Linked DNA regions of Notamacropus eugenii. The protein of the gene in region 1 interacts with the protein of each later gene in a pairwise test. Links are inferred from orthologs where the notes say so. Each region holds a gene or a part of one and is shown on either strand. Other genes may lie near its edges.

What was found.
Region 2: the proteins of RAB3IL1 (region 1) and RAB11A interact in a two-hybrid assay, tested with the Homo sapiens proteins (2 studies listed by BioGRID and IntAct). The two-hybrid records come from large-scale screens. The link is inferred for Notamacropus eugenii from reciprocal best matches to the Homo sapiens genes RAB3IL1 and RAB11A.

The regions. Positions count from the first base shown.
Region 1 is NC_092873.1:13,633,792-13,641,028, reverse strand, and holds the start of RAB3IL1 (guanine nucleotide exchange factor for Rab-3A), read left to right. Parts: upstream 1-4,224; 5' UTR 4,225-4,900; coding exon 4,901-4,929; intron 4,930-7,237. UniProt on the Homo sapiens protein: Guanine nucleotide exchange factor (GEF) which may activate RAB3A, a GTPase that regulates synaptic vesicle exocytosis. Promotes the exchange of GDP to GTP, converting inactive GDP-bound Rab proteins into their active GTP-bound form.
Region 2 is NC_092872.1:128,251,769-128,259,770, reverse strand, and holds the start of RAB11A (ras-related protein Rab-11A), read right to left. Parts: upstream 3,018-8,002; 5' UTR 3,002-3,017; intron 1-3,001. UniProt on the Homo sapiens protein: The small GTPases Rab are key regulators of intracellular membrane trafficking, from the formation of transport vesicles to their fusion with membranes.

The DNA.
Region 1 (7,237 bases):
GACTGGAGAGGTGAGAGATTATGGGTGCAGAATGTTGACCACACCATCAGATAAGGTTATGGTGAGAGCTGGTTTTCTTTGTTATAAGGGAAGACTCACATGATTGTGGGCATGTATGTCTGGGGCTGGGAAAGAGAAACAGCTGGAAATGCTTGGGCTATAAAAACACAAGGATAGGTGTAGGTATGAACTTGAGAGTTCATTGATATGTGGAACTACTAAAGAGAGAACTCTCTTTACCAATGCAGATTGCAACCCCTCTACAAATGATCATTTTAGAGAGCTATCTGAGGCACTGAGAGATTTAATAGCTTTCTCATGTGTCAAGGGAGGGACAGTAGGAATGAAAGGCATCACTTTAAACTAAAATTAAAGTCCCTTGGTGGATTTGAGGGTAATGTATTTCCAGTTCACCTTTGCACACGTGAGATGTGTGAGGTATTTAGGGAGGACCAGCACCTCTGGTGGGAGGACTGCTCATCCACCTTTCGTGTACGTGTCACCCAGCTCTCACCTGTGACTCCAAGAAGCTGGATGGACTAAACCAGGTAACAGGTAACTGATGGACCTCAAACCCATTGGTGAGTTAGGAGTGTGTCTGCCTCAAGCATGTGAAGATTTTTCCCAGTGGAACGGGTACAGGAGAATGATTTGTTCCAGCGGCCACGAAGGTGACTAAAGCACATGCGACGGAGAACTTAGCATTTGTTTGGACATGGAAGGTGCCAAGGTCACCCACCTCATCCTGGGCCATAGCCATCATCCTGACTTTTGCCCTGCCACTGGATTCTGATGACCCTAGAAGAGAGACAACTTTGTGAGGCTCTTCCTCACTTAAATCCACTTTATACACAAGTCAAGGCATCACCCCAGGATATCATTGATTTTCTTTAGCAATGACGGACAAACAAGAACGGTCTCTACAAAAACTCAACACAACAAAAGTTGATTTTGTATCCAGTATGAGAGACAGTGTGGTATGACCAATAGAAGCTCACCTCTAAGACTGGAAGACGCAGGTTCAAGTCCTAATTCTGAGAAGTACTGGCCGTGTGATCCTGGCCAAGTCCCCTATTCTCTCAGTGCTCCAGAAGTTGCAAAAAAGGAACCAACCTGCTTCAGTGGAGGGAATTTCCTCACTTTGGAGTTCTTCATACCAGTGATGTCACAGATTATTTAATCTCTCACCTTAGACCTCTCCAAATGCACAAGATTCTGTTATCCTCCATGACAATGGTGGGCCATTGACAGACTGGGAGATTAACTGTAGCTGAGGTTGCCCTGAAAACCCCAAAATCTTAGGTGACCTTGAATGACTTAAAGGCATAGTTCCTTTCCTAAGGAGGAGAGGACTAAGATGGGCTTCTATCAGCACCAGGGGTTACCAGAGAGTTCACAGATCCATTATAATAAGGCTTATGTGCACATCTCGACCTTTGCTGGCCTTCACAAACCTTTAGTGACTTCCTGTTACCCATGAGATGAAGTTCAGACTCCTCACCCTGGCCTTCACTGACATTGGAAAGAGAGTCCAGTGCAGGTGGCACCTTCTTTAACAACACATATAGGTAAGCAAAGCATTGAAACAGGCTGATATAAGAGGGGTGAAGGGTAGGAGAGGTCCAGGGGGTGCTTATGGGTGCAAGTCAGTGCATGGGATGATACTGGACTTGGCTGATGCGTCAGTGCCTTCTGACAGACTGTCTTCCCCCTCTTTTTCACTCTTTGTGATGAGGTCTAGCTCTCTCAGAGGATGGAGGGATGTTGGGAAAACGGATGTGATATGAAAACCAGAGATATCAGTGACATTTTCCTAAAATATAAAAACACACAGACAAAAATAAAGCTAAAATTAAAATAAAAGCACACATTACAAGAAATATGCAAATTAGCAAAAAAAGAAGAAAGTAAGGAAGGAGGAGAGAAGGAGGGAAGGAAGGAGGTGAGAAAGAGAGAAAGAAAGAAAACATGGAATCACCCTCTCTCTAATCTCAAAGTGTTTGCTTTCAAAAGCCAACCTTCCTCAGCTAGAAGCACCCTCTGAGGTCAAGTTCAGACTTCTCATTTTATAAACGGGCGGTGGGGGCTTTGACTGGATGAACTCTGAGGCCCCTCCCTGCTGTAAATCTATGACCCCACAAATGGACTAGGCTGCATTTGGGAAATGGTACATTGCCTTCAAAGAGCAAGGGTAAACAAAGGACCATCTGTTGATCACTAACAAGAGTCAAAATCAGGGCAGGGCAACTGGGATTTGTCTCAGGGCATCAGATTTAGAGGGCACAGAAAACACTTGCAGTAACAAAAGAGGTGAAATGTGTAGGGCTCAGCCAGCCTGAGAGCATTTCCAAGTTCCCTCACTCGGTACCAGGTCCTCCCCTCCCTCAGTGTCCTGAGGCCCAGGGAGTTTGGGAAATGCTGATTTAGGGAGCCTCATACTCCCTCTTCTTTCCATTAGGGTGCCAAGGCAGGAGGGGAGCTTTGTGAGGATTCTGGGCTTCAAGTCCCTGCCTCTCCCAGAGCGACCACTGGAGGGTGCCTTAGCCCCAAAGGGCCCTCCTGCTGGCCCCTTGACCTTCCTTTTTTTCCTGAGAAAAAGTCTGTGTTGTGAGGGCAAGCTGAGCTCCTTTAAGATGAGTTGGGGAGAGTTAGGGGTCCGTGACTCTCTCATTCTTGTTACAGCCTCTTAGGTGGGTGGTGGAAAGAGCTTTAGACTTAAAATCAGGGGACCTGCCAAGGAGTGTCAGGAAAGCTACTTCCATGCCTCCCCCTCCTTTTTGAGCTAGGGGATGGGGCCCACAACATTGCCTATCATATCAATTTTTTTCCAATGAACTGATTAGTTTTTGTTGAATTTTTTTCTTTTCTTTTTTTAGAAAATAAATTCCTTGTTATAGGGAATAGATGGTAGAGGGAAGGGGAGGGATAGAGGAGAAAATCCAGGTGATATGAAGACAAAAAAGTAATAAAAATCTATTCTTTTTTTTTTTAAGTTTTTCTTCTCTGGGTCTCAGTTTTCTCATCTATAAATTGGGGGACTAATTCTAGCTAGGGTGTGATATTCGAAGAGTACTTCTATTAAAGTCAAGGGAACAGAGTTCGTATTCTGTGTATGAGCCTTATTCCCCCACACGGTGTTGGGCAAGCCCTCTCACCAGTGGCATGCACCTCAGTGTCCCCATTTGTAAAATGGGATTAAGGAGTTTTGGACTGCTGCACTGGTCTTTTGCTGACCTTGTCCGTCTTGACTTCTGTTCAGTCTTTGATGCTGTCAACCACCCTCTTGGCTCCCAGGTACTTCCTCCTTCCTTATCATATTAATAAAAGTATTATTTAAATATTAAATATTATTAAGCACATTAATGAGCCCAATAACTTATTTTATTTTATAATATATCATAAATCATGTTTCAAGGATCTCATTAGCACAGGTGCTCAATTTTTATATTTGTATATATTATATATATTCATATTTATACAGACTGGATAAGCTGTAAAGCCTAACCCTTCTGAGATTTAATGGACAGTTTATGAGAGTAATGGGTTGTGCCTGAAAACATTCTCTTTCTCTAGCCTACCTGGTAGTGAGACAGTAGTATAATAGTGTTAAATTAATTAAATATAATAGCGATTTTGTAATCACCTGTCTAGGGAACTCCCATTATGGAAATTCCCTTTGTCAATACAGAATGACATAGTCCTAGAGAGAGGCCTTAGAGGATTGAGACTGACCCAGGAAGAGCCTAAGGGACTTGTCCAAGGTCAACAGGCTAGCAAAGGGTCACAGAGTTAAAAATGAGGGATCTTAAAGGTCATGTGGAATGTTTTCTTCATTCTAAAGATGAGCCCAGGTATGGCTTTGCAAGATCAAGGTTATAGGTCACAGGTGGTGAGATTTGAACCAAGAGCCTCTGACTGCAGACCCAGCATACTTTTGATTTGGTCTTCCTGACTCCAAGGCTAGATACCTTTCAAAGAAATCAAGATTAAGTTAATGACATTATAACAATTAATATTATTATTTAGATTGTGATAGAAACAGGCTGGACACAGAGCTTTAGACAGTATGGACACAGCAAACTACAAGTCCCAGGGAGATAACTGTAGTTGGACAGTGTGGGGCTCCAGCCCTCAGAATGCTGACATCATCATACACTTAGGGTAACCACAGCGACAGGGGCGCATCACAGTGGTCTCCCAACAGCCCCCCAGGCCCTTGGACACCAACCCAAGAGCCATCTTACTCAGTAGGCTTAGAGCAGGACCCCCTGTTGGAGGTGGGCAGAGGAGGGAGGGGCCCTGGGGGCTGACCCACCCTGACAAAACCCCCAGGGCCTAGGAGAGAGGTGCAGAGGGGTTGGTTGGCTACCTGAAGACTGAAGGGGCCCCTCTGTTCCCTCCTGCCTCAGAAGGTGTCCATACCCTGCCCACTGAGTGAGGAGGGTGAAAGCAGTTGGAAAGAAAGAGATCCACCTGTTTGGGAGGGGTGAGAACAGAAGGCTGGAGAGAGCTGGCTGGCTTAAGAAGGGATGAGGGACCCTTGGACCTGGGTCCAGGCCTCCTGAGCATCCAAAGACTCTTATATCTGAGGGCCTAGTCTGAAGGGCCTCCAGCACCACTAAGCTGGACCACCCCCACACTCCATCCCACCACTATAACCATGGGAAAGCAGGGCAAGAAACTGATTTCATCACCTCCTGGGCCCAGCGACCCCTGAGCAAAGAATTGGGAGAGACCTCTGGGGTGTTTATTCAGATGGGCCTGGTGGACTCTACCTGTGCACCATGAAGTAGACCCCAGCAGCTGTAGCCATCCCAGCAGAGGGGCCCAGACGATCCTTGGCCTGGAAAAGAGAGAAGTGGACCTTAGGAGGCCGTGTGCTGACATCTCCCCAGGACCCATGGACACTGCTCAGCTGAAACCTGTAAGGTGAGTGCCCCACCCACAACCCACCACAGAGGCCAGGGCTTCTCACACCAGCCAGTCCAGTGAGGTTTTCTTCACTGGACCATAGATTAGAACTGGAAGAGACCTTCGAGGTCATTGATGAAACTGAGACCCAAGGATAGGACGTGATTTGCCCAAGGTCAAACAGCAGGGAATAAATAAGAGAGGCAGGGTTTGACCCCAGGTTCTTTGGCTCCAGAGATAGGATTCTTTACCCCATACCACCCTGCCTCCCTTCTTGCCTAAGGTGCAAAGAAAACGACATTGGGAGGCTGGAGTTTCTGCCCCCTAACTTGATGTGACCACTAGAGTTCATTTTTTTATAGCATCTCTCTCTGCTCTCCTAGGAGGTTGGGAGTCCAAGGGTTTCTTTTGTTTGGTCCAGACAAAGGTTTTATTGAAACTGCATGGAAAAGTCTTTCTTCTGATAAAGCTAGGGAACTCATCTATAACTCATGGTCTTGCCTGGGGTGGGGACTAAGAGCTTAAATGAGCTGCCTAAAGCCATACAGCTAGTTATGTGTTAAAAGCAAGATTTGAACTCAGGTCTTCCCAGTTTCAAGGCTGGCTCTCAGTGCAAGGATTATTATACCCATTAGGCAGAAAAAGCCCATTCAACAACAGATTCATGCTTAACCAACAATTATTATGCATCTACTATATACAAAGCCTTGTGCTGGACATTGGAATGGGGAAAACCTTTAGAGAAAACCCAGAGTCTCTGCCCTCAGGAAGTTCTCCAATAGTGATGAGTTCCATCAGAACACAGAGGTAGGTAATACACAGTCTCTGCCAGTAGAATAGTAAGACTTGGACCTGGGAGGCATCCACACCAAGGGCTTCTCCATCTCTTTTGTGTCCTGATCTCCTGGGGAGCAGTCTAGTAGTGATGCCAATGAACCTCTGCCCAGTCATGTTTACAAATAATTTAGGGAAATGCTAAATTTGAGTTAAAGGTTAGGGAAAATATGTATGCCCCCACCTTCCCCAATCTGCATTCACAGATCCTTTGATATCTATCCACGTGGATGGGGTCCCTAGGTTAAGAATCATTGACTAATCCAACCCCATGATTTAGGGAGCAGGAAACCGAGGCCAGGGGACAAATTTAGACTCTTATGAAGGGAAAGATGTGAGGAGTGAGGGGTAGGGACCAGAGGAATTCCATGATGCGTTAGCTTCCTTTGGGGATAAGATTACTAGGCTGGTAGAGAGGGGAATTTTATGACTACATTTTATACCTGGATTTTAGCAAAGTTTATGATAAAGTCCATCATACTAAGAGATAGGGATTAGGTGAGGATAAAATCAGTGGTATACAGAACTGATTGGATGGCTGGACTCATGATTCCATGTCACTGCAGCTTGAGGTCTCTCAGTCTGGCACTGGGATATATAATCTTTTGTCCATGACAGACTTGTATGAAGGCATAGATGACCTGCTCATTAAATCTGCCAATGACACGAAGCTGGGACACCACTGATACTGAATGACAGTCAGGATCCAAAAAGATTACAACAGGCCAGAGCTTTGGACTGCCTGAAATAAGATGAGATTCAATAATGATCATTTTAAAGTCTTGTAATTGGGTACAAAAAATCAACTTCACAAACATAAGATTGGTGGGGAGCCTGGTTAGATAACAGTTCAGAGAAGGACCTGAGGATTTTAATGGACCACAAGTTCAGTATGAATCAGCAGTGGGGGGAAGCAGCCAGAAATGCTCATGCAGTCTTGGGCTGTACCATGAGGAGTGCATCTTCCAGTGGTTGGTCCCACTGTCCTCTACCTTTGTCAGATTCTATTCCAAAATCCAAGTTTAAGAAGGAGGCCGATTCATTGGAGAGGGTTCAGAGGAGAGTCAGGGTTACAGAGGGAAGGGTTTTGAATCTGTTGGAGGAGCTGAGGGATATCTCAGGGAGAGGAGGGGCTTCATATATTTGAAATATTTGTCCCAGAGGGCACAGCCAATAGCTATGAGTGAACATTGCAGAGAGGAATCTTTGGGCTTGATATCAATAAAAACGAAGTAATAGTCGACATTTATATGCCGCTTACTCTGTTCCAAGCACTGGGCTAAATGCTTTACACGTATCATCTCTTGACCCTCACAATATTCTTGAGAGATGGGTGCTATGATTATTCCCATTTTGTAGTTGAGGAAACTGAGGCAAATGGGCTTAAGCGACATGCCCAGGGTCACTTAAGTAAGTGTATGAGGCTACTTTTGAACTCAAGTCTTCCTGACTCCAGGTCCAGAAAATCCTCCTAACAATTAGCTGTCTAAAA
Region 2 (8,002 bases), on another chromosome or scaffold:
AGTAGCCAAATTGTCTCAAAGATATTTGTTTTATCCTTAAGACACATTTTGCTTGTGGTCCTTAATGGATTTTTCCCCATGTGTATCCATGAGTTTCCATTTATAGGAAAATGTTTTATAGTCATGCTCTGGGAACTTATTAAGATTGTATAATAGGAAGGGTCTTTGGAGATAATCGAGTCCAGCCCTCTCATTTTACAGTTAAACAAAATGAAGTCCAGGAAAGTTAAGTAACGTATTCAAGGAAACACAAGTAGTAAATATCAGAAATAGAACTTGAGATCAGACTAACTTCAGAGCAGGTACTACTGTACAGTGTTGCCTGGACTTTGTATTTTCTGATTAGAGTTGAGTTAGATTGGATTTTTTTCCCCTATTTTTATTATATAAGATAGATATTGGGGAGATGTCTAATATATAAATATATAGATATGGGCTACAGTTGGCATAGGTAGATATATGGAATCTGGCTCACCTCTGAAGAAAGGAGGCTGTGCCTGCACTGTCCACAGTCTAGTTGGGTGTGTGGGGTAAAGAACAGGTAGGATTCAGGATCATTGAGTCTAGGTGAATTCTTCTCTCTCTGAGAGGGGTATCAAATCTTTGATCCTCTTTGAAAATGAAGGATGGACAATAATATGCTAGAATTATATCTGCTACTACTCAAGTAGTTTGGGGGTATTAGTCTGGGTTTAGAATAAAAGCTGCCAGCCCTGATGGCTTTCACTGGGGGAGGGTAGCCACTCACTCATACTCACTAGTTTTACTCCCACCAAATACTAGTTACACAAAAGTCCATCTTGAACCTTTTTGTCAAAGAAAGCAGCCAATTGGGGAAATGATACAGATAAGAATAAACAAAGAATCCTTGAGGGTCAAAGAGCTCTTCAATAGGGAAGGACACAAGGTTTCAACAAAAGCAAAGCCAGAGGGAAAAATCTTACCATGGTAATGTCCTCTATGGGGGTGCAAACACAGGAAATCAAGAGACACAGTGACGGGGGCAACTTCCCCATATAGCTGAGGCCCAGGAACTCGAGTGATTCATTCTAAAGTCCCTGCCTTGCCTGGTCTCTGTCAAAGTAGAAGTCCTCTGTTGAAGTCTCTATCCAACCCACTGAAATAAGTCCCTTATAGATACAAAAGATGAGCCCAATTTTCTCCCAGAATTCACATCCTCTAAAAGGTACATAGTGCAGATCATGAGACTGTCCATTGGAAAACCACTCAACTTGCTTCGGTGGGAGTGAATATTATAGTTATATTTCCTGTCTGTCAATTACTTAACATCAATTGCTTAAGTATCCACCTAGTAAGGCCCCCTCATACTTGGCACTGGCAAAGTAAAGGGAGACAGGGATGGAATCGAGGTGAAGACTAACTCTTCTTCTCAGGAAGCTGACATCAAAATTGAGGTGATAAGACTCACTTGGAATAATTTAAGGACCTTTTATAACACGTTATGCAAAAGAAGGAAATTAATAGAGTACGTCAAACCCCTAGGTACATGAGTACGATTCTTCACTCTGTTTCCTTTGGCCCTCTAAAAGGAAAGAGTTGGGTAACTTGTGAAAAGGGGGGCAACTAGATGGTACAAAGGACAGAGCACTGCTGTGCTTAGAATCGGGGAAGATCTAAATTCAGCTCTACCTCAGACACTTACTAGCTATGTGACCCTGGGCAAGTCACTTAACTCTGTTTGCCTCAGTTTCCTCATCTGTAAAATGAGATAGAGAAGGAGATGTCAAAACACTCAAGTATCTTTGCAAAGAAAACCCCAAATGGGGTCCCAAAGAGTTGGACATGACTGAAAAACAACAATGCTTGCGAAGGATCATAGAAGAGGGGACTGTGGAGATCATCTCATCCAATTTCTTCATGATCCATGTGAACTAACTGAGCCTCAAAGAAGTGGAACGACTTGCTCAGGTAATATCATTATCTAGGTAATAAGAAGCAGAAAAAGGTTTTGATGACAAAAGCGATGACTCTAAATCTAATGTCTTTTGTATTATCCTGTGCTGTTTCCTTTCAGCTTATGCTATTTCTGCCCAAGAGATGAGTGATCCTGAAATCATTGAAGAAAGAATAACACCCATTGATCTTAAAGAGCGAGTTCCCAGAGTAGTGTTAGAAAGTATTTTTCTTTCAGGAGCTATTGATCCCTAGAGAAAAGACAAAGCACGGGTCTGGTTATTGATTAAAAGCCCCTCATCAACACTCTATTGCCTAAAGAGTAAGTTCCAAATTCATTGCTTGGCATTTGAAGCCCTTCACACTTTACCTTTTTTACCTTTACAACTTTGTTTTACCTTATTCCTCTTTCAGATCTTCTGGGCTCCACAGTGCTCCCCTCTCCTACACTTTACCCTTTTGTTCAGTTGTTTTTCAATTGTCTGACACTCTGTGACCTCATTTAGGGTTTTCTTAGCAAAGATATTGGAGTGGTTTACCATTTCCTTTTCTGGCTCATTATATAGTTGAGGAAACTGAGGCAAACAGAGTTAAATGACTTGCCCAGGGTTGCACAGTAAGTATCTGAGGCCAGATATGAACTCAGGAAGAGGAGTGTTCCTGACTCCATGCCTGGCACTCTGTGCACTATGGCATCACCTAGCTGCCTATGCACTGTATTGTCCTACACTCCACTGCTGGTCTATGCTCCAGCCAAACAGGACCAGTCACTGAGCTTCATAAATACCCCGTACTTTTCTGTCCCTGTTCACATTTTTCTCTAGTCCTAGAAAGCCCTCCTCCCCTATTTTATTCTCTTGAATTTTTCTGCATCCTTTAAAACCCAACTAAAAGCCATTTCATCCAGTCAGCTATTGCTGAAATTCCCAGACTGCTAACAATCTCCTCCACACCCACTCCTTGGACCTCTTTGTACTTCTCTTATGTACATATAATAGTGTATACTATTGTTTTGTATATGTGTGTCATTTCCCACAATTTGGGATACAAACTCCACAAAAACAGAATTCACATCTTTAATGCCTACCTCAATGCTTAACACAGTTGTTGTTGTCCTTTGTCCTTCATTCAATGACATCAGGAGGGTGATATCTTGACTTGCAAGTGACCTGGATTTAAATGAAGCAGGGCTGTGCAAAATCAGCCTCACTCTCTCCTCCAGTCATCAGAGTCGAGTGGCAAGACATAAGACAAGTTGACTGGCGATGCCCCCAGATGCAGCGGAGACCATGACCTTTTTAAGCTAAGGTCTTTCTCAGGTCTCAGTTTCTCTGAGGCAACATCTACTTAGTAATTTAAGGCTCAGTGAGAATTGAGGCAAAAGATGGTTTAGTTCAGGGGTGGGGAACCCGTGATCTGAGTCTAAGTTTTACAGAACAAACCTTTAATTAAGGGGATTTGTTCTGTGAAGTTTGGATTCAGTCAAAGGACCTTGAAGTTGCAGGTTCCCCACCCCTGGTCTAGTTTGACTTGATCTGGAAGAGGAACACTCTCAAAGTTTCTGGCCAGAACAGAAACAATTGTTATTTTGCTGGCCCTCTGAGCCATAAAATCTAAACAATGAGTAAGTGAGGCTTGGGCTGGAACCTGTTATTGGCCAGTCAGTGAGAGACAGGGTGATTGGATTTTAAAGTCTCAGTCAAGTATTTCCATTTGAATACCAATGGGTTTTATCAAAGTCTGGTTTGTCAAAGCTATATTTCTAGAAAACATAAAGGAAAACTACATTAAAAAAGAGTTAATTGTCCCAAATTAATGGGAAAAAATAATAGAATAAATAAATAAATGGAGAAGAAAAAGATCTAGCCCCCTCGAAACGTAAGTGAAAAAAACTGCATAAAAGGCTCCTCATGTGCACAGAGGGAGGAAGGGGGGGATGAGGAGAGAAATGGCAGCATATTTTATCTTCATACCTACCTCAATGCTTAATGTTGCTATTGATTGTCCTTAATTCTCAAATAGGACCAATGTGTGTGTGTGTGTGTGTGTGTGTGTGTGTGTGTGTGTGTGTGTTCGTCCTTCATTGCTGAAGAAGACCATGCTATCAGAGAAATAATGACATGACTTGCACTTGAGTTTGTTTTGAGTGAGGGAGGGCTGTGCAGGTCACCAGCCTCACTTCTCCTCCAGAGCCATCTGAATCCAATGATCAGATATTCATCAGGATGACTGGAGATGACCCAGGATGAGGCAATTGGGGTTAAGTGACTTGCCCAAAGTCACACAGCTAGTGAGTGTCAAGTGTCTGAGGTGAGATTTGAACTCAGGTCCTCCTGACTCCTGCACTGGTGCTCTATCCACTGCACTACCTAGCTGCCCTAATAGGACCAATGACATCAGGAGGGTGATGTATATGAATTGGATTTAAGCGAAGCAGGGCTGCTCAAAGTCATTGGCCTCACTGTCTCCTCCAGGGTCATCAGAATTTAGAGTCAAGACATAGGTCTGGATGACTGGTGATGGACTCGGGCTTAACACCGTGCTTTCCACATATAAGTCCTGAATCAATGTGCGTTGAGTTAATATCTGTGGGAGACTGGCTCAAATCCAACATGTCATTCACTTCAAAGGAGGCAGAGAGCATGAAAGACACCTATATTAGTACAATGAGATTGGTGGAGTTACCTAACACTATTGTTTTAATTGTACTGTTCATGGTCATCAACCAGTAATTATTGAAAATCAAGATTGTCCAGCCATGAAACAAAACAGTGCTTTGTCTCAGGGCTGATGTTGATTTGGCATTGGCGAGGAAAAGTAGCTGTTACTCCCGAGTGAGGAAAGGGAAGATTTTTCCTTCTTGATTATTGGCTTTGTGGCTGATTGATGTGGCTGCAGTTTTTCCACTTTCCTTCTCAAATCAGGCCCTTCATGCACATGCCTTTTAAATTTGCAATCAAGCAATCATAGGCACAACATATATGTACGTATGTATATATTTGTATGTATAGGGTTGATTGGGATATGAAGATCCAGAATAAAACACAAATTTTATTTTTGTGATACAATTGAGTCTCTGCAATGTCTTTTACCCTAAAAGGTTTGGAGTCAGCAAGGAACTCAGAAGAAAGGGAATAATAACAATAATGTTTTTAATGGGGGCAGAGCCAAGAAGGCAAAGAAAAGGAATGAACTTGCCTGAGCTCTCCCACATTCCCTTCCAAACAACTTTAAACCAATGCCTCAAAAATAATTCTGGAGCCACAGAATCAACAAAAGGATGGGGTGAAACAATTTTCCAGCCTAAGACAATTTAGAAGGTTGGCAGAAAATCTCTGTCACTTGGGAGTGAGAGTGGAGTACAGGTCAGGCAATGACCCTGGCAAGTCAGCAGCTGTCCTTGGCGGCAACTGAATAAGCAGCAGCAGCTTCCAGAACTCTCGGCCCACAGATGGTAAGGGGGCCAGACAACTGGCCAGAAGGAGATTATGAGGGTACCCTTGCTGACACTGTATACAGGACTTGGTTGCATTGCCCATACATGAATCCAGGTCATAGTCCTGGATTGTAGTCCCAGGGCAAGGAGGAGCCACTTCTGCTGCTACGGGGGAGTTGGGTCATAGTTCCAAGTTGGAAGAGAGTGCTGTGGTCACTCACAGCCTAGGTAAACGCACCTCTCCTTAGATCATACCACCTTGGTAGAACTAAAAACTTACAGACCCCAAGAACTAGCTCTGAAAATGACTGCACAAAAAAACCCCAAAGCATGAAACAGTGCCCCCTCCACCCTAGGATCAGAACCCAACTTTGGCATAAAGTTAAACGTCAATAAATAGGTTGGAAAAATGAGTAAACAGCAGCAACAAAATGACCTGACCATAAAAAGTTACTCTGGTGACAGCGAAGACCAAAACACAAACTCAGAAGATGATAAAGTCAAAACTGCTGCATCTGAAGCCTCAATGAAAAATATGAATTGATCTCAGCTCTACCTTCCCCCACGCAGAATTCCTGGAACAGCTCTAAAACGTTTTTTAAAAATCAGAGAGGTAGAGGAAAAATTGGGAAAAGAAATGAGAGTGATACAAGAAAATCATGAAAAAAGAATCAACAGCTTGGTAAAGAGACACAAACACACACAAAAAACTCTGAAGAAAATAATACCTTAAAAATAAAACAGACCAAATGATAAAAGAGGCACAAGAATCCACTGAAAAGAACACCTTAAAAAGAAGAATTAGCCAAATGGAGAAAAGATGTTCAAAAATTCATTGAAGAAAAGAAAAAAATGGATATTTAATGAAATAGAGGACTTTCAAGCATTCCTGATGAAAACACTAAAGCTGAATAGAAAATTTGGTTTTCAAATACAAGACTCAAGAGAACCATAAGGCAAAGAGGAAAGAGAAATCATGAGAGAGAGAGAGAGAGGAATTGAGAGAGGCAGAGACAAAGACAGTGAGAGACAGAGAGATTGAGTGAGAGGGATTGAAAGAGGTCAAGACAAAGAGAAAGAAAGAGAGACAGATAATAAGAAACAGAGACTGGGAGAAAAAGACAGGGTTTGAGAGAGAGGAACTAAGAGACAGAGACAAAGAAAGAAAGAGAGAGACAGAGAGTGAGAGAGAGACAGAGAGATTGAGAGAGAGTTTGAGAGACAGAGACTAAGAAAGACAGAATAAGAGAGAGACAGAGAAACTTAGAGAAGGAAAATGCATTAGGTACAGTTCTTAGTAACAAGAGCTCACTCTTCAGGGCCCAATTTTTTGCAGTTCTTACGCTGAAGGGAATTAATATCACTAGACCTATTGAAAAACAATCCAAAATATCACTATATGAGTATGTTATTTTGGATTGGGCTATGTTTCTCTAAGGTTTTTACATAATGCTGAGCAAAAGGTGACTTGGTAACACAGGATCCAACCTGTGGGAAGGAGAAGGGGGAAAGGGATGCTTCTTCCCCTTTGCCTTTGTGACTGGTACCTGGTCACCAAGGACTCCCTTTCCTCTCCATCCTTATTCCTAGAATACCAGCAGCAGCCCCTCTTTCTCCCTCCAGCCCAAGACAGTTTGCCTACATCACGTCCATGTTTGGGAGCGTACAATATGTGGGACACCTGAAAACAGCAATCTTTGTGGCAATGGAAGTGACGTGTGTATATTCCAGTCTCCCCAACAGGCACCTCAGAGTCTTTGTTCCCCTCTGAATTGAATTTGCCCTGGTTCCTTGAATTTCAAGTTATGACTCTGGACCTTAGAAAGAGTTTTATCATCAGACTCATATTGACAGGTCCGATCCTATCTTATGAAACAGGCAAATATGCACTTTGGCTTCTTTCTAGAGGCAGGTAGGTGGTACAGTGGAGAGTTAGGATGCTGGACCTAGAGTGAGGAAGACAAGTCACATCTAATCTCAGACACTTACTATGTGGCACTGGGCAAGTCACTTAATTTCTGTCTTCCTCAGTTTTCTTAACTGTAACATGGGGATGATAATGATACCTACCTTACAGGGCTGTCATGAAGATCAAATGTGATAACATTTATGAAGTGCTTAGAACAATGACTGTCACACTGTAGGCACTTAAAAATGTCAATTCTACCTTTTATTTTCTCCTTCATTATGCCCCAAAATCCTGTCAATCTTCAATCTCCATCATCTTTCTGCTGCTGGCTGACCAGAGGAGGCTCACACTGAGGTAGCAACAAGATGGGATGGTGAAAAGAACACTGGACCTTGAAGATAGGGGGCACTTGAGTTGAAATCCCAGATCTGGCCCATAGTAGCTGTGTGACCAAGGGCAAGTCACTTTATCTCAGAGACTCTACTTATGAAATGGGTATAATAATATTAAAATCATCAGCTGCATAGAGAATAGAAGAGGGAAGCATTTTATAAATGTTAACACATTATATAAATGTGAAGTATGACTCGTATCTCTGGAATCAACACACACAGTCTTGACTTTCCCCTGGCAGCCCCAGTCAAGGGTGGAACCAGTATCTGAGGGCTGTGGAATCTTTTAGAGATATCGCTCAAATCACACCTTCTCGCAAAAGTAACCACCTGCTCTGTTTCCCGACATGA